Sus scrofa: one gene and its partners. The protein of the gene in region 4 interacts with the protein of the main gene of each other region in a pairwise test. Links are inferred from orthologs where the notes say so. Each region holds a gene or a part of one and is shown on either strand. Other genes may lie near its edges.

What was found.
Region 1: the proteins of C6H1orf94 (region 4) and CCHCR1 interact in binary tests that used the Homo sapiens proteins (3 or more experiments, as listed by UniProt). The link is inferred for Sus scrofa from reciprocal best matches to the Homo sapiens genes C1orf94 and CCHCR1.
Region 2: the proteins of C6H1orf94 (region 4) and GSE1 interact in binary tests that used the Homo sapiens proteins (3 or more experiments, as listed by UniProt). The link is inferred for Sus scrofa from reciprocal best matches to the Homo sapiens genes C1orf94 and GSE1.
Region 3: the proteins of C6H1orf94 (region 4) and AES interact in binary tests that used the Homo sapiens proteins (3 or more experiments, as listed by UniProt). The two-hybrid records come from large-scale screens. The link is inferred for Sus scrofa from reciprocal best matches to the Homo sapiens genes C1orf94 and TLE5.
Region 5: the proteins of C6H1orf94 (region 4) and HNRNPF interact in binary tests that used the Homo sapiens proteins (3 or more experiments, as listed by UniProt). The two-hybrid records come from large-scale screens. The link is inferred for Sus scrofa from reciprocal best matches to the Homo sapiens genes C1orf94 and HNRNPF.
Region 6: the proteins of C6H1orf94 (region 4) and GCC1 interact in binary tests that used the Homo sapiens proteins (3 or more experiments, as listed by UniProt). The two-hybrid records come from large-scale screens. The link is inferred for Sus scrofa from reciprocal best matches to the Homo sapiens genes C1orf94 and GCC1.
Region 7: the proteins of C6H1orf94 (region 4) and CFAP206 interact in binary tests that used the Homo sapiens proteins (3 or more experiments, as listed by UniProt). The two-hybrid records come from large-scale screens. The link is inferred for Sus scrofa from reciprocal best matches to the Homo sapiens genes C1orf94 and CFAP206.

The regions. Positions count from the first base shown.
Region 1 is NC_010449.5:23,555,310-23,559,308, forward strand, and holds the start of CCHCR1 (coiled-coil alpha-helical rod protein 1), read right to left. Parts: upstream 2,801-3,999; 5' UTR 2,658-2,800; intron 2,322-2,657; exon of another isoform or gene 2,111-2,321; 5' UTR 2,071-2,110; coding exon 1,897-2,070; intron 1,692-1,896; exon of another isoform or gene 1,626-1,691; coding exon 1,559-1,625; intron 1,481-1,558; coding exon 1,267-1,480; intron 1-1,266. Other genes in the region: TCF19 (transcription factor 19), read left to right, coding at 3,968-3,999. UniProt on the Homo sapiens protein: May be a regulator of keratinocyte proliferation or differentiation.
Region 2 is NC_010448.4:3,246,116-3,248,564, forward strand, and holds part of GSE1 (genetic suppressor element 1), read right to left. Parts: intron 2,015-2,449; exon of another isoform or gene 1,775-2,014; coding exon 1,640-1,774; 3' UTR 1-1,639.
Region 3 is NC_010444.4:75,490,928-75,495,007, reverse strand, and holds the start of AES (amino-terminal enhancer of split), read right to left. Parts: upstream 2,801-4,080; 5' UTR 2,627-2,800; coding exon 2,600-2,626; intron 1,466-2,599; coding exon 1,368-1,465; intron 1-1,367. UniProt on the Homo sapiens protein: Transcriptional corepressor. Acts as a dominant repressor towards other family members. Inhibits NF-kappa-B-regulated gene expression. May be required for the initiation and maintenance of the differentiated state.
Region 4 is NC_010448.4:90,457,933-90,461,432, reverse strand, and holds part of C6H1orf94 (uncharacterized protein C1orf94 homolog), read right to left. Parts: intron 1,023-3,500; coding exon 325-1,022; intron 1-324.
Region 5 is NC_010456.5:61,665,146-61,669,093, forward strand, and holds the start of HNRNPF (heterogeneous nuclear ribonucleoprotein F), read right to left. Parts: upstream 2,801-3,948; 5' UTR 2,712-2,800; intron 2,384-2,711; exon of another isoform or gene 2,316-2,383; intron 1,758-2,315; exon of another isoform or gene 1,667-1,757; intron 1-1,666.
Region 6 is NC_010460.4:20,700,339-20,704,484, forward strand, and holds the start of GCC1 (GRIP and coiled-coil domain-containing protein 1), read left to right. Parts: upstream 1-1,346; 5' UTR 1,347-1,769; coding exon 1,770-2,801; intron 2,802-4,146. UniProt on the Homo sapiens protein: Probably involved in maintaining Golgi structure.
Region 7 is NC_010443.5:55,842,011-55,845,510, reverse strand, and holds part of CFAP206 (cilia- and flagella-associated protein 206), read right to left. Parts: intron 2,179-3,500; coding exon 1,985-2,178; intron 1-1,984. UniProt on the Homo sapiens protein: Essential for sperm motility and is involved in the regulation of the beating frequency of motile cilia on the epithelial cells of the respiratory tract. Required for the establishment of radial spokes in sperm flagella.

The DNA of each region.
Region 1 (3,999 bases), on a different chromosome or scaffold from region 4:
GAGCCATGATGGGAACTCTGACTTCTGAATTCTGATTTAAGGGTGAGGAAAAGTTTGAGGAAGGTGCAAAGAGAGGTCACAACTTCCAGTGTCAATATGGCAGGGCCAGACGCTAGGGGAAAGTCATATATTGAGTTCCTGCTGGGGAACAATAGATTGGCTGCATCTCTGGAGCACTGGGATGCAGGTTCAATCCCTGGCCCAGCATAGTGGGTTAAGGATCTGGCATTGCTGCATCTGTGGCTCAGATCTGAGTTCCTGGCCCGGGAACTCACTATGCCTCAGGGCAGTCAAAAAAAAAAAAAAAAAAATCAGTTGAGTGTTAGGTACTCATGAGATGTCTGAGAGGGTAGCACTTCCAATAAATTACATAGTCTCAACCAGTCTACTGGTGTCGCATAAAGTTTAAACCAGCTTATCCCATGGCTCTTGACACAGCTTCCTCACTGAGGCCCAGAACAGCATTTTTTTGTTGCTGTTCAAGAAGCAAAGATCTGCAGCCTAGAGTCATTAAGTGACGGCCAAAGGACTCCCAGCTGGTAGCCACATTAGCCACAAAGAGTCTGACTCTCACTCCAGTGCTCCCCTTTTGTCATCATGCTCTTTTCTCTTTGATGGGATCCAAGGTCGACCCATCTGCAATCCTGCTCTTGAGCAAAATGGCAGGATGACGTTCCAATACATTTGGGAGAAGACACCCATGAAACATCAAGAATGAGAATTTTCACAGGTAACACACTGACAGATGGCACGGACAGCTCCCTCAGGACGAATCCTCGCTACCACAGCACATGGCCTGTTCTCCCCGCAGGTACTGCATCTTACCTTATTCTACGCTTAATACAATCGGCTGTGGGTCAACCTATTTCCTCCCTTAGAATTTTTTTTCTTTCTTTTTTGGCTGCACCTGCAACATGTGGAAGTTTTCAGGTCAGGGAGCGAACCTGTGCCATAGCAGCTACCTGAGCCACTGGACTTACAAGGCTGGATCCTTAACCCTTTTGACACAAGAGAACTCCTTCCCTTAGGATTTTAAATTCCATGATATCAGGATCTTTCTTTTTTCTTTTTCAGTTTTGATACCCCTGTCCCTAGCATCAAGCACATCATCTTATTATTATTTGTGCACTGTAGGCACCAACAATTGCTTATGTACAAATGAAGAAATCATGGAATGAAGGGCTGAAATAGGGTAAAGGAATCTATTTCAGTGAAGAAGGGACAGTGGCAAGCAAGCCCGAGAAAACAGCAACAGGAGATCCCTACCTGCCTCGCCACCCTGGCTCCTGCCCTTTGCCAGAAACTTCCTTTTCCCACATGGTCACTTGAGGTCTCTGGTTGTCTGACAGCCTCTCTAAGACATCTTGATGGGCCGGGGGCTGGACCAAGGGAATGTCTGAGACCCAAGGGGGAGCCATTCTCGGCAGAGTTGGATGGGGCCGAGCTTGGAAGTGGGATGGGGGTATCAGCCTGGTGGAACCTGAGGAATCGTAAGGACAAAGATGGTCAGTTTCCCAGGGGGACACAATCACCAGTTCCCTTGCAAGATCCCACTGACCTGAACGTCGAAACATCTCCATATCATCTGAAGTCTCTAGATTCTGTGTCCAGTCATCTATGTTCTCCTGGACAATAGGAGAAACAAGGACACTCCAATTCAATTTTCAAGCCCCCTTCCAAAGAGAGAGCCCCTACAACAGCAAAGTCAAAAGCCTTAAATAACAGCCAGGGATGGCCGACTCTTAGCTCCTCTTTTCCTACTTCCCAAAAGAAGCAGGAAATATCTGAAAATCACTTGCTTGTCTCAATCTGGTTCCTAACAGAACTATGGCAACAGCCACGAGATGGAACAAATTTACTGAGACAGGCTGGGAAGCTCTTAGGTTTTGTTCATACTTGTAGAATTCTGGGCAGTGCCTTTACCCTCCTCCTTAAGTTTCTACAGTCTCTGCTGTTCCTGGATGGAGATGACGAAGGTGTGCGGTGCAGGGGCTGTGAGCCCAATCGCCGGAGTTCTCTCCATGGCTCAGCAAGGCCTTGGGGAAGCCCATCCAGACACCACCAAGCCATGACTCCTGGGTCCTTCCTTATCAAAGCGCTGATCCAAAGCCTGGCCCCAGATGAGCATGGCTACATGTAGAGCAGGACACCTATGGGGCCCCCAGGGAATCCAGGCAGCCTAGACCCCTTGGCAGAAAAGTCATCTCATCCAAACCCTTCCAGCAACTCCCTGCTCAGTTTCTCTCTACTGTCCTCTCAGTTTCCATTCCTGTCTCCCACCAGCCTCTCCAGAGCCCCAGACAAGAGACGGCTCTTCAAGATCTCCCCACCCTCCCACCCGAATCCATCTATTCCCCCCCCCAATCTGAGATTCCTATGCCCCTCCCTACATCCTAATTTGCTTTGATCCAGAAGGAATTATTCTGGTCCCCCACGCTCATCTCTCAATTCAATTGCCTGCTCTCCCTCCCGCCTCTCCCGCAGATACTCCTGAGCCTTCGCCCTGCTGGACGAGGAGCTCTAGGGCTGTTCTGACCACTTCATTTGTCCTTTTACCCGGACCCTGTACCCCTCCACCCTGTGGACCCCTGAACCCACCCCCGCACCCCCTCTTGGCCCTTCCCGCCCCCAACCGACTCTTCCCGAATACCCCTTACCCAGCGCGAGCGACCCCTCTGCCCTTTGACCACACCCCCTACCCCTAGCTCAGAAGCGCGGCCTCAGCCCCTGACCGCGCCTGCGCAAAGCGGGCAGGTTGGCGGGACGCTCTAAAGCCCTTCACCCTTCCGGGAGGAGGAGGGGAAGAGGTGTACGCAGGCGCGGTAGTCTAAAGCCCGGCCCAATTATGGCACTGAGGGCATCTCCGCGCCCTGGCGGCTCCTCCCAACTCCGGGAACCCGGGAAAACTTGTGAACTAATCAGAAAAAGCGGAAGGCGGGAGATCGGAGACCCTCCCAGCGCGTCGCCCAATGGAGAGAAGGAGGGCAAAAGAGATGGCCAATCAGAAACGGCACGGGGGGCGGGCTCTCTCGGCGCGAAGTTCAGACCCGGGAATTCCGAAGGCGGGGTCGGTACTGCCCGCGCGCGGAGACGGCGCCCCTCCTGGCCCCGGCTTCCTCGCTGTCAAACAGCCGCTGGAGCACCAGCCCTGGCCGGAGCCTGAGAGATCCTGAGCTGCCGCACAGGCTGGCACTGCCCGGAGAGGGGACCGCTTCGAGACTGCACCTCGCGGTAGATAAGAATCTGGATTGCGGCGGGGAGGGAAAAGGCTGGGTTTCCCTCGCATGATCCCGGGAAGCCCTATCCTGTCTTTAATCCCACCTGGAGAAGTCGGGAAGCAGGGGTTTAGATCCGCTTTGTTAGAGAACATAGAGACCCATTTGCACTGCCTTTGGAGGGATGACAGTGGATAGACTTCCCACGGGGGTTTAAGCTATCTAGTTATGAGTGAGGGGTTGGCCAGAAGAGCGAGGCGCAGGCTAGCAGGTGGGTTACTCTGTTTGGATTAGCAGAATTGACAGGAAACTTCTCCAAATTACACTGAGGTGACAAGTTAGTATCACACAGAAGCAGGACCCCAGTCCTCCCCCCTTGCAATTCGCATATTCCCCAGAAGCTGCCTAACGTATTGTTGCCTGGCACAGACTTGAAGGCTCCCGGAATATTCTGCAGCCTGAGGATCTGATTCAACTTCGTGCCATAGGACATCTTCGTCTTTGCACTATACTGGGACCCTCACGAAATTTTTCAGTTGGAAAACTGTTGACAGCCAATCTTGCATCGAATCCTAGGCCCTTGCACTCTGAATTTACACTATTCGGGGAGCGTGCCCAAGGTTGAGATTGCACAAAGCACAGTTCAACTCTGCATCAGAGGGAAAGAGAACTTAGGCCAGCTGTGCATGGCCCAGGATTGGGAAGTGATGGATTCCTGAAGTGGAAGAGGTGGTGCAGAGGGGGCACCGCCCATGCTGCCCTGCTTCCAGCTGCTGCGCATAGG
Region 2 (2,449 bases), about 87 Mb from region 4:
AGGGCAGGGGGCGCCCGCAGTGCAAGGCTCCAGCTTCCTCCCCTCGCCCCCAAGGCTGACTGACCCCTGGCTGCTCTGGTCTCTGGTTCAGGCCCTTCAGGCAAGAGATGCCTTCTTGATTGAGCTCAAACCCTGCCTGAACAAGCAATAAGTGGGCTCAGAGGGAAGCCCCCGCCTCTCCCCGCCCCAGGCTTCACACGGGTCATCCCTGTCCAGCTGCTCCTGTGCCTGTCACGGCAGGTGCAAGAGGGGGAGACGTTCTGCTCATTGTTCACCCCACTTTGAGGCTGTTACAAAGCTCTGCCTCTAAAAAAGCCGCTAACGTTTCTACTCTGCACCTGCTCTCCGACTGCTGTGAGACACCCTAGAACCTAGCACAGAAACCGCTCACTTCCTGAAAGGGCCTCTGAGCAAAGCCCGGGGCTGGGTGCTGTGCTGGGCGCGCGTGACGGCACGCAGAGGGCCTCGAGCCGCCCCTCCTCGCTGGACAGCAACGGGCCCCAGGGGCTCTCGGCCATCCGGAGCCAGGAGGGGCCAGCAGGAGGGAAGCGGCAGCGTGGCGGCTCCACGGCACTTTCTGGTGGCAACTCGGAAATGAAGCGACCGCATAGGCGCCAGTGGTAAGCTCTTTTACTTTTCTTCTTTTTTAATTTTTAAAAACACTTCAGTATTTTAATGTCCTGACCAGCAGCAGTACAAACACTAAAAGCAAGGGTTTTTTTTTTCTTTTTTGCCCAGAAAAACAAAACAAAAAACAAACAAAACCCCCAAACAGGAAAACAACAAAAATCCCCCCAAACCACATATTAAAAATGGCAGGCTTTTTATAACAATAATTAAAGTAATAAAAACATACAAAACTTTGTTTTTTAATATATATACACAGTACAAGGCTGAAGCACCTTTGACTATTCTCTCAAAATTGACGTTTGTATGAAAACACCCCCCACGGCAGGAACGATCCGTGGCTGTGACTCAACGCACGCACAGAGCTCTGCGCGTGTGCCCGTGGAGTGACAAAAAGGTACCTTCCGTTGGCTGATGGGCTTTCTCTCTAGGTGAGAGCTTTTCCGGGGAAAAGCCTTGGGCTGAGGCTTCAGTACGGCTGCTTTGTGTGCTCCTAGGACCTGGTGCTTGGAAGGGAATTTTCCGGAAAAGTAACTGAAACAAATAAGCCCTTTAACTTAAAACGCACCCCACCTTCCGGGAGCTGGAGCAGGCCTCCCTCCGGCCCCGAGGACCGAGACCCGCGCCCACCGCAGCGGGAGCCGAGCGGCCGCTCCTGCTCCAGACTCCGGAACACACAACCCCAGGGGCGAGAGAGGACCACGTGTTAGTGTTGGTGACGGAGCGTCCGCTTTCAGCTGAACAACGATGACGTGGGGAAAGACTAAAACCACCTCCAGAAAGAAAAACTAGGGGCGTCTACGTGGCTGCTGGCTGATGACCAAGACGACTGAATGGCATTGGAAGCCGAGGCGAGTCCGTTCTTTTTCTGGGGCCTGGAATCCTTTGCTTCATGCATGGCACATTCTCATTGTTTTAAGCTTCAAACCTCCCAGTGAAAAATATTAAATATTCAAGGTAATAAAATAGATACTATTTCTCTACTCTAGGTTCGGCCTCGTGCGACGGAGCGTCACCTGGGGTACCCCTTCAAGTAACCCCGGGGCCAGTGCATGGCCGGCAACGCAAGGCACTTCCGTAAGTGATCCAGTTCGGCCTGGAGGCGCTCCCTTTCTGAAACAATCTTCTGTTTCTGGCTCCTCAGCTCCTGGAGAGAAGGAAACGCGTGTAAAACAAACGCCTGCAGACCTCTCTCGGTTGTGCTGCGCGCCTGGGTCCGCGCCCCCGACCTTCAGCACTGCGCATGCTGGGCGGCAGAGGGCGGGTTGGCCCACAGCAGCCTCGGCCTCGGGAAGGACCGGTCCAGCTGTGCCCCCAAGGCCTGGATGCCCACAGAAGCAGCTTCAAGCCGGAGGTGCCCACACCAGCCCGGCCCCACAGCCGAGAGGTGCCCCTGCCCCCTCCCTGCGGGCTGGGAGGAAGGGGGGTTAAGGCTGCAGGGCCTGCAGGTGTGTGGGGGACCGTCTGGCCTCAACAGCTTTGCTCCTTAGCAAATCACAGGCAGGGAGGGTGAGACAGGGCTTCATGTCCCTCGGCGGCAGGGAAAAGAGCTTCGTCACCCTCCCGGAGCGGAACTCTGCTAAACCTGGGGCCTTCGGCTGACTCCTGAATCTCCCCTTAGGACGCCAAGCTTTGATCGCACAGGAGCAGGATTTCCCCTCAAAACATGCTATGTGGGGTGGGTTTTTTTTTTTTGTCTTTGTCTTTTTAGGCCCACATCTGTGGCATATGGAGGCTCCAAGGCTAGGGGTCGAATTGGAGCTGCAGCTGCCGGCCTATGTCACAGCCACAGCCACACCAGATCTGAGTTGCATCTGCGACC
Region 3 (4,080 bases), on a different chromosome or scaffold from region 4:
TGGCTTCTCTAATTTTCTTTAAAAATGTACAGTTGCTGCCACTGTTAAAAAAAAAAAAAAAAGGCAGTTTCATTCCAAACTGCATTTCTGGCCCTTCCTGAGGGACTGGCAGATACTGTACCAGTCCCCAACACAGTAGGACTCCTCGCTGTATAGCAGGAAGCCCAGGCCCAGCGGATCGTGACTCCAAAGCTCAGAGAGGGGGCCTGGCCTACCTGAGGTCACACAGCATGAGGCAGCAACCTGACCCTCAGTCTCTGGAGTCAGATCGGCCAGCCAGATTGGATCAGAGGAGAGCAAGGGCCAGGTAGGGAGGGTAGGACCCCTGGAGAGGCTCAGAAAGGCCAGGCCTGACAAGCAAAGCTCCTAAACCCTCCACATCACAGGACCAGAACAAAGCTCCCGGGCCTGCCCTTCAACCACCTTGCCTCAGTTTCCTCACTTTGAAATGGGCATATGATCAAAAAGCAGGGAAGATTCAATAAAAGGATGTATGTTCAGTATTTGGCAAATGGGGAGGATAGGAACACCCCCAAAGGAAAAACAGATCTCACTATTCCTATCTCTTCTTGGAGAAAACTCAGGATCCTTCATAGAACACTTTTGTGTGACCAAACTGAGGTCCAGAGAAAGCCCAAGACCCCACTGGTATCTGTGGCCATGGACCCCCTTCTGATTCTCAAGCAAAGACCCCCTCCGGAGCTAAGGCTTGAGACTTTGCAGTCTTCAACCCAGAAACTGAGTGTGAGAATCTCATTTTGCCACTTCCCTGCTGGGCAACCCCAGGAAACCCCTATCACCTCTGGGTTTAAGTTTCCCTAAATGTAAAATGAAGATAATAATAGTTCCTTTTTCTTAGATCTGGCACATGGCAAGCCCTTTAGAAATGTTAGATTAAATTCTGGAGGGAGCATCGCCTTGCTGCTGGGTGCCAGAAACCTTTTCTCCAAAACTAGGCAAAGAGATAACAAGCTATAGACTTTCTTTTGAGGGGTGGGTGGGGCGATGGAAGATCCAGCCCCCAACTCCAGCTCTTGGGAGGTCTTTTATCCAACGCAGTCTGGGGTGGGGGTGGGGGAGGGGAGAGGGGCTTGGAAACCAGACGGCTGAGTCTTTGGGCAAATTATTTAAATTCTTGTGCCTCAGTTTTCTCCTCTATGAAATGGGACTGTCCTAAAGACTAAATGAATTTAATATCCGTAAGTGTTGGAGACCTGGTCTGCCACATGAGACACTCAATACCGATTTTTTCCCCCCATTCTGTGTGTATAGCAGGGACCACAACTTCAGCTCCAGGCCTCAGTCTTGCCTTCTGAGCAGGGGGCTCCACCTTCACCCAGGGCAGGGACCACCAGCCCTCAGCTCACCTGTGGTACTGAGCCTGCAGGAGCTGAAACTCATCTTTGATGCGGTCGCAGGAGTCCGAGGTGGTGAATTTGAGTTGCTGGGGTAGGTGCGACGAGCCCTGTGGGGAGGGGGCGGCCCGGGTCAGGACCAGGAGGGGGCCGCCACCCACCTTCCTCCCTGAGGGCGCCCCCCCTCCACCAGGCTGCGGCCTGCGCAGCTGCAGCGTCCCCCCACACCCTGCCCCACTTCCCTGGCTGTGTTTACAGCCCCTGGCTCGGCCCCCGCCCTCGCTTCCTGCCCCCGCCTCTCCCCGAGAAGCTAAGGAGGGTGGGTGCTCCCGGAGCCGCTCGTCCCCCTCCACCCCCAGGCTGTGGGGGTGCATTTGAAGGGCCGCCCTTGGTGGGGGGTAGGGTGCGCCCTCTACCGCGCCTCCACAGCGCCGGGAGGGGTTGCACGTCTGAGCGTCCCAACTGCCTCAGGGAGGGGGGAGAACGCGTCCTAGTGAATCCCCCTCCCCAAAGCTGGGAGGCGGGGGCAGGCTTCCTGGCAAAGTCCCCTTGGGAGAGGGGGCTCTCAGCGCCCAAAATCTTCCGGGGGTGCGGGGGCCCACCCCAGATTCCTAGCACCCTTCCTCCAGGCCGCGCGCTCTTCCGGGAGGGGTGCGCCTTGACTCTCCCCCACTCCCAGGCCCCAAAAGCAGCCCCAGCGTTAGAGGTGCCTAGTGGGGCTCCCGGGGCGCCCCAGGCCCCAGGCCAAGGCCAGCGAGGCCCAGCCTGGCTTGGGGTGGGGGTGCGCAGGGTCCAGGGTCTGGGGCGTGCTCTGAGCTGGGGGCAAAAGGGGACCTGGGGGGGCTCTGGGCCCGGAAGCTGGGAGGGGGACCCGGAGCTGGCGGCGGTTGCGGGGGGGGAGCAGCTCTGGGCCCAGAGCTGGAGGGGACTGGGCCCAGGAGTTGGGGGGAGGTGCCGAGCTGGAGGCGGGGGGTTGGCCTGGCAGGGACCTGGAAGGGGGTCGCAGGGCTTGGACCTAGAGGGGGCGCTGGGTTCGGATATGGGAGGGTACGGGGCCCCGACCTGGAGGGACGCAGGGCCCGAACCTGGGGGAGGGAATAGCCCCGGCTGGGAACTGGGGATACCGGGCCAGGACGTAGGGGGACGCAGGGCCCGGAGCTGGGGGGGGTGGCTGGGCTGGGAACCGGGGGTGCCGGGCCCGGACGGGGGGGGGGGGGGCCGCCGGGCCGACGGGCCCCGCTTACCGAATGCCTGCTTTGTGGAAACATCATGTCAGTCGCGGCGGGGGGCGCAGGCTGCGCCCCGGCTGTGCGCCCCGACTCGGGCTGCTCGGGGCGCCGGGCGGCCGCGCCTTTGTCCCGGAGCCGATCGGCAGCTCCCGGGGCCGCCGCCGCCGCCTCCCGCGCCCGGCCTCGCCCGCTTCCTGCGCCCCCTCCCCGCGCGCCCGGCCCCGGCGCGCCCCGGGCCCCGCTTCCTGCGCGCCCGGCGCCCCTCCCCGCCCCTCCCCGCCGCCCGCCTCCCCGCACGCCCGGCCGCCGCTCCTATTGTCTAATGGCGGCGACGCCGGCAGTGGCCGCGGCCTCGGCTGCGCGGAGGCTCCGGCTCCACCTGCTGCTGTCGCCGCCGCCGCCGCCGCCGCCGCTGCTGCTTCCCGGGCCCCGTGCGCGCCGCCGAGGGGGGGGCGCGCGCCCGGGGAGGCCCGCGGATCCCCACCCATCCGCCTCCCCCGGGCCGGCCGGCGCGGTGACCTTGGGCCCGCGCGCCCCCGCCCCGCCGCGGCCCCTCCCGGCCGGGTGGCCTCGGCAACCGCCAGGGCCTCGGTTTCCCCATCGGTCAAAGCTTGGGGCCCGGCTGCCCCCATCGAAACCGCCGGCGCTGTCATGGCGCGACCCGGACGCGTGCCAGGGACATGCTCTGTAACCTTGGCTCACTGGCTTTTCTCTGAGCCTCGGTTTCCTCCTCCGTAGAAAGGCGGGGATGATACCGCCGACCTCCTGGGAGCCATACCTTGACTCACATTAATGGAGCGCCTACTGTGTGCCAGGTGGGGGTGGGAGGGGGTACAGAGTCCCTACCCTGGTGGAGAAGACAGAAGACAGAGAGACCAGCCAAAGAGCCAGGTCCCTGGCAGGTCAGATGGTGGTAACAGCTATAGAGAAAAGAAAGCAGGAGGGAGGGCCGGGAAGATGTGATTTTAAACAGAGGGAACTCAGATGGACCTCTTTGGCCGCTAAGCGGATCTGAAGACGAGAGAGGGAGCCAGTAGGCTATGGGGTTGGTCGCTTATTTTAGGAGGCAGAAACAGCCAGTGCAAAGGTACTGAGGCAGCACTGTGCCTAGCACAGGTGGGGGTGGGGTGCTTGAGAGGAAAAGGGAGCAGAGGGGCAGGGCTAGCAGCTTCTGGAATTTGCACAGAGGCCTGGCTTCCAGAAGGGCCTCTGCTTGGGTGGATGATCTGCTGTGTTGGTCTGGAAATTCCTAATAATTTTTGAATGGTCTTGTTTTGCATTGGGGCCTGCAAATTCTGTAGCTGGTGATGAGGCGGGACAGATGGTGCAGGGCCTTGTGGGCTCAGGGAGGATTTGGGCTTGCTCGGAGTGAGATGGGAGCCCTGTGAGATGGTGGGCAGAGGAGAAACAGGGCTGATGGGGACTTTGATAGGATCTCTCTCCCTTTCCTGTGGAGAGCAGGCCTCCAAGAAACCAGAAATAAGGCACATTAAGTT
Region 4 (3,500 bases):
GCTTCCTTCCATTGTACCTGGGTACCTGTGGATTCAAAAACCAAGTCAGTTACCAAATGGGCCCATCTCTCTTCCCAGAGCACGTTGAATTCAGGACCACAGGACCTGCCTGCACGAGCCAGGCCCTGTATACAGGCATCCAGCAGAGGAGGCCTGTGGGGGCTTGAAAACAGCCTGTGCCTGTGGACCCAGCTCACCCTCGAGGCCGTCTCTTCCTACTTTGCACAAAGAGGCTGCCTGTGCCTGATGCAGCCTGACTCGCTTTCCAGCAAGTTTCTCCTCCCTGCAGACGCACTCCATAGCCCTGCTGCCAGTCCCACTCACCCATCAAGTGGTGCCCCTCCATGGCGGGGTCAGCCTCGGGCTTGGAGCAGATCTTGGCAAACACCGGGAGCTGCTTCTTTGGAGCTGGGAGTTCGAGGAGCTTTTCGAGCTTGTCGGGAGGCCTGGGAGGAGGGGGAGGCGGCAGCAGCAGGAACGGGCCCAGCCCCGCAGGCTCCTTGGGTCCAGGGCCAGAGAACATGTTGTTCTGCAGGAAGTCTTTGATGACTCTGGTTTCCTCCAACACCACCTTGCTGTCGGGGGCCTTGGACGTCTCAGGGGACTTTAGTGGGAACTGGGCCAGGAGCTTGCTGATCTCCAAATTGGAGGCCCCCAGGCCATGGCCCCGATCCTCCGTTCTCTTGGCACCCTTGACCTTGGCAGCACGCAGGATGCCCGTGACTGTAGATATGGCAGAATCGCAGTCCTGCCGGCTGCCGACAACAGACACGGCCACCTTCGGCTCCAGAAGCTGGTCACCGGTGATGATGGAGGCCCCCGGGCACTCACTGCTGCCTGCCACCAGAGAAGGCACCAGAAGGCAGGGAGCCGGGGGTCGGGGTCCCCCGGGAGGGCTGCCGGGTGCCTCTAGCTCTCCCGAGCTCTCTGCGATTAGGATGAGGTGCTCTTGGGTGAGGTTCAAGAACTCCTGCTCCACCAACAAGGAGATCTCATCTTTGCCACTGGTGAGCTCCAGAGCCCTGCCAACAGGTCAGAAAGAGGCGGCTTTAGTGCTAGCTCACTGAGGGTGGACCTGCAGATAGGGTGCAGGCCCCAGGGAAAGGCGCTGGAGGAAACACGTTTCCAGGTATGAGAAACTGACAGCTTTTTTTTTTTTCCCTTAAATGGCCACACCCACAGCATATGGAAGTTCCCAAGCCATGGATATCGCAATGCCACATCTGAGCCACATTTACAACCTATAACCAGCTGGCCACAACACTGGATCCTTAACCCACCAAGAGTGAGGCCAGGGATGGAACCTGCATCCTCAGAGAGACTCTGTCAGGTCTTTAAACTAATGAGCCATACTAGGAACCCCTTATTGCTTTTTAGGAGAGAAAATGGACCACCAGTGGACCCCAAGGGGTTTCTACACCACACCACTGGGCACAGTACCAAGAGCTTGGTTCTGGGAATCAAGACACTTCCCGATACCGCATCTTGCTGAGCTGAGCCGAGCCTTAATTTCTATCCATCTCTCTCTGTTCTGCTGTGCCCAGGACTTGAGCAACAAAAGACCAGCAACATAAGGGCCAGGAGTGAGCCAACAGCTCTGAGCGTGGCGGCCAGCGTGCTGGGGATGAGTCCTGGGGGGCCCTCACAGGCACCGCAGGATGGCTGGGTGAGAGCAGGGGCGACAGCTGGAGCTCACAGCCTGGCTCCATCACTTCCCAGCTCTGCGACCTTGGGCACGTTGTTCAGCCTCTTGGTACCGCTATCTCCTCACCTGGTTAATGGCATATCACGGAGCCTTCAGACCGTGTCTGGCACAGAGCAAGGGCCACACAATTCCCAGCTAGTATGCCTAAGCTCCATCAGCCTGGCTGGTCCTCTGGATCCTGAAATTTGCATGGTGGCTCCGTGGATACCCGTGTCCTCCTTGGCTGCCATGGCCCTTTGACCAGATGGCCGCCTCTGCACTGGGCCCCATTTCCTGGGAGCACTAGCAATTTCTTGAGCCCTGCACTGATTCACAAGCATCTCCCTGTCTCTAAACATTGGTCTCTACCTGCACCTCAGACCCAGGGCCCCCAGCTGGACCCTCGATGGCCGGCATCAGCCTCATGGAGCCTGAAGGTGCCATGGACTCTAGGCTCCTGACTGCCGGCTCTCTCCAGGTGTCGGAAAGCATGGCTTGTGGACCAGCCTGCCTCACCAGTGTCCTCAGCAAGGGGGAACCTTCCTCCTGGCTCTCCCAGAAGGACCAGGGTCACCCAGCTTAGAACCATCTGCTCTCCCTGCTAGAGGTGTTCTCAGGAAGAGGGGATGAAGTGACCTGCACAGAACATCTGGAAACTGTTCAGCATTGTACCCCTGGGAGAAGGTGGTGAAGATGGTGAAAAAGAGGCAGAGGGACAAGCGAAAGCTTCCCAGGAGTGGAGCTCTGGGGAGGCCCCAAGGTACATTCCTGCTTGGACAACCTGTTCTGGGGGTGCAGTGAGTCCCCCAAATAATGGCTATGGGATGCTCCCAGCAGCGACATGCCTCTCTGGTACTGCTCCATGTCTGAGCACACACCATACACATCCACACCCACCCACACCCACCCACACCCACACATGCAATACGGGTAGACAGTGAGACACAGTCACCACACAGAACCGGGGGCGGGGGGGCCCGTCACCGCATCTGACAACCAATCAGAATAGGCCCAGGCTATGTTTCAGATGTGCAGGGCATGAACCCCTTAGTTGCTGGGGCCTGTTGAGGCCCAGGCGTCCTGGAAAAGGTGCTGGCTGGCCAGAGCACTTGGGAAGCACAGGGAAGCATTTAAAACATGGGAGCTTGTCACTATTCTAACAAACCCAGGCAGCAGGGCCTCCTGAACACCAGTCCTGCATGTGGCCTCACCGGGCCTGGAGGCAGCCAGTGGGATCAGGAACCGCAGACTCTGGCCAAACAGACGGCAGACAGAATTGGGTACCACTGCTTACTTCATGGCAGACTCCAGAGGCTTGGAGACTCCCCTGTGACCTGAGTAGGACCCAGACCCTGGGTGGCAAGAGAACGTGGTGGGGTCGCCCCTGTGCGGGCCCAGCACAGACACACAGGAAGCACTGGGCAGGTCCACTCAGTCTCTCCCTCCACCCTGCCTTCGGTCCTATTCCCATCCTTTCCTCCTCCCCACGTCTAGACTTGGTCTAGAAGTCGGCTCCCCACTCCCCCATCCACTGCTGTGTCCCTAGGAATAAAGAGGCTGCCCCATGTTCTAGATTCTGTCTTCCTCTCCATCCTCCTTCTCAAAGGGAACCAGGGAGTCTCAGGTCACAGAAACCAGCCATTTGAAGGACATTTTGCCTCTTCCCCACCTAAAAATTGCAACGTAACCTGTATACCAACAGATTTTCTGAATTAGAAACACTGACCCCAATTATGCTAAGTTTTAAAATTCAGATAATGGGGAGTTCCCCTTGTGGTTCAGTGGAAATGAATCTGACTACTATCCATGAGGACAC
Region 5 (3,948 bases), on a different chromosome or scaffold from region 4:
TCTCCCTCTGCCCAATCGTTTGTCTTCCACAAGAACCCTTGTTCAGAGCAACTAACTGGAGGCAGGGGTCCTGGCAGAGGGATGTCCCACGTCAGACAGACTTAAGAACAGTCCCAGATGTGTTCTAGGACACATCTGTATGATGGGGATAGCAGTAATATCTCCTTATGGACTGATCGCGGGCATGTGATTAGAAAAGTGTAAAACACCTAGCTCTGTGTCTGGACTACTGAGGGCCAATCAGTGTGATTCCACAAAGAGTCTGAGAGCCAAAACTCAGACTGGAGAGGGGAGGTTGATGGGAAAGTCACCTCTGTCGATGGGGGGCCCCCCTCCCACTTCTGTAGCCCCACCAGGCACTACTCCAAAGGGCACGCACCACGTGTGTCTCCACTCTTCCCCAGTTTTTTTTTTTTTTGTCTTTTTGTTTTTTGTCTTTTTGTCTTTTGTTGTCTTCCCCAGTTTTGACCTTATCAAAGGACTAACTCTCCTCCTGTTTAATCAATCCCTCCCCTTAAACCATTCTCATTTTTACTTGAGTTACTTTATAAGGGAGGTACGTTAACAATACTCAAGTGAAAATCAGTCGCTTAGCAGTTAAAAATTAAAAAGTAGACTATAACACGGAAAGAATAAATCTAATCAATTTACAGAAACGCATACTATTAAGAGGAGCTCCCCGAGGCAAAGGCCGAACTTGCTTAACTAGTAAATTTACTTATTTTAAAATGAAGGAGCTTATCTTCATTAGAACTGAAAACATCACTTTTCACTGATAGATCCTAATATTTTTGTCTGACCGGAGAACCCGAGGTTTGTTCATTCTTACTAGAAACGCACAAATAGTTAACTTTTAAAAACGTGACTTAAAAGTAATAGTAAGAATATCAAGACCGGTAGTTTCGCTGACGCATTCGTTTAAGGATTATTTGCAGCCTTCAACTAACTCTCCCGGCTCTACAAGGGTCCGATTACCGAGGCCCGCCCCTAACTTTGGGAGCCTGGGCCCCCCTCCCCCCACCGCCGCCAGCCGCGGCCGGTTCCGCGGAAGCCGCCGCGGCCACCCGGCCCCTCCCCCACCCCCACAGCAGCTCTCGGGCCCCGGTCCCGCTGAACAACCCGCCCGCCGAGGCAGGCAACTCCTTCCCCCCACGCCAGGTTCTCTGGCTCGAAAATAGCTGTGAAGCACGTTGGTTTGTCGTAGGGCCTCCAAGGGAAGGAAACTGCCGCGAAGGGCGTCTCGCGGGGCTCGCAGGTAGCCGGAGAAGGGAGGCAGGCTCTCCCGGGCCTGAGGTTCGTCCGGCGGGAACCTGTGGGGGTCCCCTGATAAGGAAAAGACTAACCGGGAGGAGCTTGAGGCCTCCTAACCGTAAAACACCGGGGCCCAGGGTCGGTCGGGCCCCGCGTCTCGCGCGGCGTCACCCAGACCGCTCGGCGCCACCTTACGTGGGCCACGCGGGGGCTGGGAGGCAGAGGGAGCCGCGCGAGCGCCGGCAGCGTCCAGCAGTTTCTGGGGCGCAGTCACGAATTAGCAAAAATACACTCAAAGATAAAAGGATAAGTGAAGAATAAAAAAACGGCCGACCAAGTTTCCCCAGCGGAAGTGTGGGCACCAGGCAAAGACAACAAGAACCGAACAGTTTCAACCAAAATATCCACATGCTACCTTTGAGAGCAGGAGACAAATGCAGACCGGCTCAGGGCACACACGCGGCGCGGAGAGGAAGAAAAGGCCGCAAAGACGGAAAGTGGAGGCTCTGCGAGCGGGAACGTGGGAGGGGGGAGGAGTCAGTTCCCAACCAGTCCCGTGCAACTCCCTGACGCGCGCAGCCACGTGAAAGTACTGCTTTCATTTTTAAATGAACCCCCTCTCACGGTCGCCCCATGTTTTCACCGTACCCCAGGCAGGGGCGCTCGGGCTCTGCCTCCCCACCCCAAGAGTCCGCACCAGGCTCTTCCTCCCTTCCGATCCTGCGTCCTCTGACACCAAACCTCAGCCCCGCGATCCAGTCCCCGAATGTAAACCAGTGGCCTCAGGCCCACCTCCCCGAAGTTCACATCTCAGTCCCGCAGGCCCCACCCTCAGTGGGCCAGGTCCTCGTTCAGGACCTAGTCGGTCCCTAGGTGTGTGGCTCCTGATCTCAGACCCCAAATTTCAGCCCCACGGTCTTCAACCTCCAGTAGGCCCAGGTGCAGGCCTTTACCACAGATCCCGCCTCCCCTGACCCCCAAATCTCAGCTCCTCGGTCCTCAATGCCAGGGGCCTCGGTTTCTGGTGTGTAGGCCTCGGACACGCCGCCCCTACCACCCCTCACCTTGGGCTCCGAGTCTCCACGCTCCCGCTCGTCTTCACATCCGGCACCTCGGTCGACCCTGTGAGCACCTAGAAGAGGGTGGAACGCGGGGGACTTGGCAGTTGTAGCAGAGGCAGTTGAGGCTTGTTTACCATCACTATGGAAACCTCTGGCAGCGCGCCCTGGGCGGGGCTTACGAGGGGCGGGGTCAGGCGCGCGGAAGGCCTGAGTCCACAACTCCCGCCCGTCGTGCGCACGCGGCGCTTCCGGAAGCCCTTATGCCTTGGTTTGCCTTGACCCTCCCCTCCTCAGACCTGCGCCCAAATACCCGGGAACAACAGCCCCAGGAGCCCCTGCCCCCGCCCCCGCCTCCGGCTGCCGGCGTGACCGCGGGCCGTTTTCTCTGCAGAACCCCACCTTTCGCTCCTGAAAGACGCGGCGCAACCCCACTTCCAAGACGGAGCCGGAAGGACGTAAAGACCGCGGCGGGGCGGAGTCTCCAAGGCGGGTTATGGGGGTGGGGCCACAAGGGCGCCGTTGTGACGCGCCCGGAGCGGAGTCGGGGATTGGTCGGCCAGGCGCAGGACCGGGCCGGGGCCTGCGGTGCGAGGGCGCTGCAAGTGGCAAGGTGGGTTACGTGGGCGAATCCTGCTCGAGGGAGGGGAGGGCAAGGCTTATGGGTTTTTCCGGCGTCTCTAAGGGTATCATCTGGGAGAGTTTCCCCAACAGTGAGCCCAAAGGATCCCTGGATTGAAGACCAGCGTGACAGAAGAAAATGAGAGTCATTTCCTGCCGAGGAGGAAGAAAGAGGGAACCAAATCCTGGAAACCGACAAAGGCTGTTCCGAGAGCAGGGTTTAGGGAGGGATTGGTAGGTTGAGGTTGCTCATGTGATTATCACTTGGGCTGAGAAGGCCTAAGGTTTCTGAAGGTGACCCTCAAGTCCCCAGGGAAAAGCAGACATTTCAGAGCACCTGAGCGACAGGGTGGATGGTAGCTGAAGTGGCTACTCTGCCTGAGGCAGTGGAGCAGATTATTTTTTTATGTGTTCTAGGATTATTAATTATTACCATTTTATTTTTGGAGACTCAATTCATGAAGAGGAAAATATAAAGAAACTCATCACTGATTAAGCAGGTTGCTTTTTAAATAAATTAAGGGAGTGCTTGGAATAGGGTCAGATTATGAATGGACAACCTATAGTGAAGGAAGGAGAACAGTTTGTCAAAAGAAGTTGATTTGGGAGGGATGGGAAAAGTAAAAGCAGGAGGTAAAAATGTATGAGAAGACTCAGGCGAAGCATAATTACGGAAAACAGGTCCTACAAAATTCAAATAGGTATTCTTAAGAAACCCAATGATCCCATGCTAGCTCATGGTATAGAAAAGTCTGTTTATGGAAAGAAAGTGCAAGTAGCTAATCTGAGGCAAATATTTAAATTACCACCCCACCCCCGACCCCACCCCTGCAAAAAAAAAGATGCTTCAGGGTTTAGGGACTGTGAAACCAGATTCATGCAATCCACTAAGAGGGCCTGCGAGGAGTTCCCGCCGTGGCGCAGTGGTTAACGAATCCGACTAGGAACCATGAGGTTGTGGGTTTGGTCCCTGCCCTTGCTCAGTGGGTTAACGATCCGGCATTGCCGTGAGCTGTGG
Region 6 (4,146 bases), on a different chromosome or scaffold from region 4:
AGGCTTTTACAAGGTTGAAGAGCACATTTCAAAGAATCCAAATATAACAACACAGCTACTGGTGACCAAGTCAGATCAGTTCTACATCTTTAGCTCTTTTAATTAGCCTCTTTCATCCTTGTTGTCACTGCTCTATTTCACTACCATCTTATCCCCATGACTGAAAATAGCCTTCTATACCTCGGTTTCTCCACCTTGTCATACAAGATTTGATGATGCCACTCTTGTGATGAAAATCCTTTAGTGTCTTATTACCCAAGATAAAATCCAAATGCCTTAATTTGGGTCCTCATCTACTCTGCCAGCCCCATCTGTTGCCACCTCCTTCACAAAACCTAAGCTACTGCCTTGAAATGCTTCCCAGTGCTTCCCCGGGAGGACCCAGGCTCTCTGATGCCCTAGGAGTCCTTGTACGTTTTCCTCTCTGCCTGGAATGCTTCCCTCCTCTCCGGTTAGATGGGCAATCAGTATTCATCATTCAAATCTCAAAATAGTTCCCCTGAGAGGCTTGTCTCCTCTAAACAGGCCTCGCTCCTCTTAACTTCCATACCCCTTTGCATATAATTGTGTTTGCACATCTGGTTTCTCTCTAGATATGGGTTCCCTGAGGGCAAGACCTTCTCTCTCTCTCTTTTTTAAAATATATAATGATTTTTATTTCTTTTTCATTATAGCTGGTTTACAGTGTTCAAGACCTTATCTCTTCAAGGTGATCATCTAGCACAGCATTTGATATGTGGCGAGTGGGACTGATCTTGATAGGATTCTAAACTTACTGGCTGTGTGTGACTTTGGGAGTGTCACTTAACCTCTCTGTGCTTCAAGTTTCTCTATAAAATAGTGCTAATAATACCCATTCAGCAGAATTACTATAAAGACTAAACAGCAAAATTCCTGTGATCTTCCTGCAATATATTTGGCACTTAGGATGGACAGCGTGGCTATATATATTTCTCTCTGTTGAATAACCTCAGAACTCAGGAAGGATGCTAATAATTATTATACTGTACGCCTACTGGGTTCCAAATACTGTCCTCGAAAGGGTTGCCATTTTCATGGTCTAAATGGGAGTCTTAACTGTTGCTCTTTAGGGGCAAAAGTATTGAGCCCCCAAACATCGTCGTTTACCCGGGTTTTTGGTAAGGACGCGGTGCGACGTCGTCCTGGTCCCTCGCTAGGGCAAAATCAGGCGCCCTCACCAAACCAACATCACTCCTGGGTACCCGATTTTACTTGCTCTGCTCTAGCCAGGAGCAAACAGCTGGAGGCCCAGCTGAACGGCCTCCAGACCGCCGGCTGAACTAACCCCGCCCACCTCGCGCTCACTGGGGGCGGGGTCTGATGCGTCACGCTGTCGTCACTTCCAGCCGGACCCGGAAGCGCTGTTGACTCGTGGCTAGAGTTAGGAAGTCGGGATGCGGCTAAGCTCAGCTTAAACCGTCGGCTCCTGGTGCCGGCGGGGCACGGAGCGGCTCTGGAACAGTGGGGCCGAGCCCTGGCAGTGTGTTCCTCTGGTGAGCTTTGGCAGTCTGTTCCTCTAGGATAGGACCAGCCCCCACCCTCTTGTCAGGGATCTGGCGGACGCTTCTGCCTGGCTGCCCCGCCGCGCCCCACATTCGGTGTCGAACAGCTGTGAGGAGCAGATGTGCGGCCGGGGCGGGGGGGGGTGGGCAGTTCTCTCCCTGTCGCTCACAGCCCCCGCCAACATCTTCGTGACCCTCTCCCAGCCTGTCCGAACGCTGTCGTAGAGCAAGCCGTCCTGAACCGTCATGGAGAAGTTTGGGATGAATTTCGGGGGCGGCCCGAGCAAGAGGGACCTGCTGGAGACCATTGAGACGCAGAAGAAGCAGCTCCTCCAGTACCAGGCACGTCTCAAGGATGTAGTCCGCGCCTATAAAAGCCTGCTGAAAGAGAAAGAGGCGCTGGAGGCCAGCATTAAGGTGCTGTCGGTATCCCACGAGGCGGATGTGGGCCTTGCAGGTGTCCAGCCCCAAAGCCTCACCTTTCCCGACTCTGTGGATGATCGATGCTCCACTCATAGCGAAGACAGCACTGGGACCGCCACCAGCTTGGATACTGCCGCCAGTCTCACCAGTACCAAGGGTGAGTTTGGGGTTGAAGATGACAGACCGGCCTGTGGACCACCACCTCCAAAGTCCGAGGAGGCCAGCGGGTCAGAGAGCGGCGTTAGCAGTAGCAGTGGGGATGGACCGCCTGGAGGTGGTGAGGTGGACAAACGAGTGCACCAGCTAAAGACTCAGTTGGCTACTTTGACCAGCTCTTTGGCCACAGTCACCCAGGAGAAGTCCCGCATGGAAGCTTCTTATCTGGCTGACAAAAAGAAGATGAAACAGGACCTAGAGGATGCCAGTAAGAAGTTAGAGGAGGAGAGGGGCCGTCTGGAAGGAGAATTGAAGGGGCTGCAGGAGCAGGTAGCAGAAACCAAAGCCCGACTTATCACGCAACAGCATGATCGGGCCCAAGAGCAGAGTGACCATGCCCTGATGCTGCGTGAGCTCCAGAAACTGCTGCAGGAGGAGAGGACTCAGCGCCAGGACTTGGAGCTTCGGTTGGAAGAGACTCGAGAAGCTCTGGCTGGACAGGCCTATGCAGCCGGTCAGGTGGAAGGGTTTGAACTGCAGACCAAGCAGCTGACCCGTGAGGTGGAGGAGCTGAAAGGTGAGCTACAGGCTCTTCGAGATGAGAAGAATCGGCCGGACCCCCGACTGCAGGAGCTTCAGGAAGAGGCCGCTTGCCTTAAGAGCCATTTCCAGGCTCAGTTGCAGCAGGAAATGAGGAAGGTAATTATTAGTCATTTAGCCTGGGAAGTATTAGGGCTTTTTTTTTTTTTTTTTTTCCCTCCTTTGGTAGTTAGAATTAAGTGGCTACACTGTGGATTTTTTTTTTTTTTTTTTTTGCTTTTTAGGGCCACACCTGTGGCATATGGAGGTTCCCAGGCTAGGGGTCTAATCAGAGCTACAGCTGCTGGCCACAGCCACAGCAACTCGGGATCCCAGCTGCGTCTGTGACCTACACCACAGCTCACGGCAACGTTGGATCCTTAACCCCCTGAGTAAGGCCAGGGATTGAACCCACATTCTCATGGATCCTAGTAGGGTTCGTTAACCGCTGAGCCGCAAAGGGAACTCCATGCACTGTGGATTTTTGATGCCATTCAAAAAGTTTCACTTGTGAGTCCTGGGAAATCCTTTTCTGTGTGTGGTGGTGTTTTTCTTTTCCTTTCTTTTTTCTTTTTTTGGGCTGTGCTCGAGGCATGCAGAGGTTCCTGGGTGAAGGGATCAAACGTGAGCCACAGCAGTGATAATGCTGGATCCTTAACCACTAGGCCACCAGGAAACTCTGTCTGTGTGGTGTTGACAGTTTCTGCAGAATGTGCTTCCAACAGGATGTGGAGTTCCTGAGTGTAGGCTGGATTGGAGCCAGATAGCGCTGAGCGTCTGGGCATTGGCATCTTACCAGCTCTGCTCTTTGAAGCAGTGCAGTGGCAGCTGCGCAGTGAACGATAAGAGTGTAGCAGTGTATAGGTAGCAGTGTATGGCTTTAGGTAGGGTGGCTGAAGGGGGTAAAGGGATTTTTTTCCAGAAGAGATCACCTCTTATATTGCTGGCAGTCAACATTTGCCTTTTCTGGAAAGGTATGCTGTTTTCCAATGTCTCCTTTCAGTGTGGGGAGAAATCCAAGTCAATTTTATTTTATTTTATTTTGTCTCTCTCTGTTTTTAGGGCCACACCCACAGCATATGGAGGTTCCCAGGTTAGGGGTCCAGTCAGAGCTGTAGCCACCAGCCTATGCCAGGGCCACAGCAGTGTGGGATCTGAGCCGAGTCTGTGACCTACACCACAGCTCATGGCAATGCCGGATCCTTAACCCACTGAGCGAGGCCAGGGATCGAACCTGTGTCCTCATGGATGCCAGTCAGGTTCGTTAACCACTGAGTCACGACAGGAACTCCCCAAGTCAATTTTGAACTTCCAGGAATATTGGAAAAGGAAAAGAATGTCATATGGTTTCTTCATGGGATTTGGGGAAGCACACTTTGTGGGAGCTTGGCCTATGGGAGGAGAAAGCAGAAATAATAAGCAAGGAGTTCCCATCGTGGCACAGTGGTTAACGAATCCGACTAGG
Region 7 (3,500 bases), on a different chromosome or scaffold from region 4:
ACCAACAAAGCTAACAGAGAGCGGAAAGACTGGGCAAAGACACTGCAACTTTTAACACTGGTAAAGAATTAATAGGAGTTCCTGTTGTGGCTCAGCAGAAATGAATCCAACTAGTATCCATGAGGATGTAGGTTCAATCCCTGCACCTTCTCAGTGGGTTAAGGATCCAGCATTACAGTGGGCTGTGGTGTAGGTCGCAGACGTGGCTCAGATCCTGTGGTGCCGTGGCTGTGGTGTAGACCGGTGGCTGTAGCTCCTATTCAACCCCTAGCCTGGGAACTTCCATATGCTGCACCTACGGTCCTAAAAAACTAAATAAATAAATAAAAGATAAAAAAGAATTAATACTTATAATAGACAAGGAGCTCCTGCCTACCAACAAGTTAAAGACAGAAAGAACAGTATAAAAAAAATAAATGGCAAAGGTAATGAAGAGTCGATGCACAGAAAAGGAAACCTGAAATGGATAATAGATGTAAGAAGAAAGGCTGAACCTCACTATCAGAAAAATGTACAATAAAACAGTGAGAGTGATTCCGTCTGAAATTCATCATGTTGGCAAAAATGATAAACCGGAGTAAAAGTAAGTGCTAGCAGGGTCAGTGACAAGCCCCATGAGACCGGAGCTAAACTGATCCCATCATTTTGGGAGTAACCTCCCAGTGGAGCCAAAATTGTAGGACTATTGTTTGGCCCACAGACAGAAGGATACTGAACAGCCAAGTCCAGTCTCACTCCACAACAGGAGAAAGGCCGAATGTTCTGCAGAACTGCATCATCCAAAAGGATGGCTGGAGGCTGGAGGTCACATTGACAGACTGGCAGCCTGGTGTCAGAACAGCAATGCTACAACTTCCAACCACTTTGTCCTTAGCTGACCCCTGCACCCAAATGTTCAGACTCTGCCTGTCACTAGCCCAACCGTCCCCTTACCAGTCACTGCTGGGATCCCTGCTGACCCAGTCAGTTGTACCCAAACCCACCTGCTTCACTGTCTCAGTATTGGCAAATATAATAAACACAGACCATCCATGAACCATGTGTTTCAGGGTTTTATTTTAGTGAGTTTAAAAGAGGGAAATTGAGCAAGAGACAGGATGACAGAGCGATCAAAAGGTGAACAGTGAAAAATGAAAGACAAAGAGGAAGAAAACAAGAATACACAGGAGTAGAACGTGAGCCCCAAAGAGGCAGAGACTATCACCTGTCTTGTTGACTGTGCCAAGAATCGTGCCTAGCACACAGTAAACAGCTCAGTAAATGTCTATTGAATGAATTAACAAATAGGTGCCAACACTCAAACACACCTTCAGATCCACTTTGCACTTTTCAGACTGGTGCAATTTAAACCTGTTAAATGATTTTACAACTCTGTAAGTGACCATGTTATTTGTGCTGAGTTCCTTCAATTTTAGATAAGGAAATACTGTATTCAGTGATTTATCTAAATGTAGTCTTTCTCTTTCAGGTTTTTCTAGCCTGATTCATCAATTTGATTCCTTATCTTGTTTTCACTCATTCTTTGTGGACTTCCTTGGTTTTCTTCTTCAGATATGAACGCCTTTCAGATAACCTGGAATGGTCCCCATCTGACCCTGACTCTACCTGAATGTGGGAACCAGTCTACAGCAAAATGTAACATTTTATTAACTGTACTTTATTTATTTATTTATTTATTTTGTCTTTTTGCCTTTTCTGGAGCCACTCCCGCAGCATATGGAGGTTCCCAAGCTTAGGGGTCTAATTGGAGCTGTAGCTGCCAGCCTATGTCAGAGCCACAGCAAGGTGGGATCCAAGCCGAGTCTGCGACCTACACCACAGCTCACGGCAACGCCAGATCCTTAACCCACTGAGTGAGGTCAGGGATCGAACTCGAAACCTCGTGGTTCCTACTCCGATTTGTTAACCACTGAGCCACGACAGGAACACCTTATTAACTATACTTTAGAATGTTATAAATTCTTAAAATGCCAACCCTCCTTACCTGAGAATATGGAATAAGGGTTTCAAACTGTTGATGAAGTTCTAGTAGTTGAATCAATTCTGCATTTTTTTTGGCTTTTTCTGTAATTGAATCAATATAATTTTCAGGATTTTCTGCAAACGAATATGCAGCATCTCTGGTATTGAAAGTGTAATACTTTTCTTTATATTTCAAAATTCCAATTGCTGGATTTCCTGAAAATTGAGAAAAGGAATTAAGTGTGAAATGTTAAGTGACTCTATGTTTGTAATACACCCATAGAACCATTTCCTATACACTCCGTTTTTATCACTTATGTTTTTATTCAGCTGAAGTATTACAACTAGCAATCTGAAATTATACATTTTGCTAAATTATATTTTATATAAAGTTCAAATTAAATTGATTTTATATATTTAAATATTTTAAATTTTTAAATTAAATTTTATCTAAGAATATTTCACTATCCAGATATAAGTTGTTTAAAAAATCTTTTATGAGAAGCCACTCAGTAAATGGCAGGTTTTTCAAATCTTCTTAAACTTAACTAACATTGTTTTAAAAGTAATCCTGTCAGAACTATAAAAATGAGACATCATTTCCAAAATGTAAATTTGCATGTTAGAAAGTCTTTCCCATGTAAAACATGGATTATTAAATATACACATAGATTGTGAGAATTATATAGGAAGCAGTAACACTGTCTTATTTATTCTTTCATTTATATAACAAATATTTCTTGCCCTTGGTCTTGGCACTGAGGATATAGAAGAAAACAAATTAGTAAATATACCATAGGCCAGAGAGTAATCAGTGCTACAGAAAACAAAAAAACAAAACAGGTTAAACACATGGTACAAGGAAGGAGGGTGAAAATGACATTTTATTTTTATTTTTTGTCTTTTTTCTAGGGCCACATGCATGGCATATGGAGGTTCCCAGGCTAGGGGTGGAATCGGAGCTGTAGCCACCCACCTATGCCACAGCCACAGCAGCGTGGGACCCAAGCCACGTCTGTGACCTACATCACAGCTCACGGCAACGCCAGATCCTTAACCCACTGAGCAAGGCCAGGGATCGAACCCGCAACCTCACGGTTCCTAGTTGGATTCGTTAACCACTGAGCCACGACGGGAATTCTGAAAATGACATTTTAAATTGGGTGATCAGAGAAGGCTGAGTAAAACGAAGGAGCAAGGTGTGTAGCTATTGGGGGACAGAGCTGTCCAACTAGAGAGAAGAGCAAGTGCAAAAGCTCTAAGGTGAAAATGGTCTTGGAATGTTCGAGAACAGCAAGGTCAGTAGGGCTGGAGCAACGTCATCAGAAAAGGCCCCTGACTGGTAGGCCCAGGTAAGCCCTGTGGTCTGTAGTCCCCAAGAGGAGGGGCTCCTACAGAATTCCTCTGAGGCAGTGCAGCTGGCTGCTGCCCAGAAAATAACACAGGAAATAGAAATCATGCAGTACGCAGATCTAAAGTGAAGTAAGACAGAGAAAGACAAATATCATATGATATCACCTATATGTGGAATCTAATAA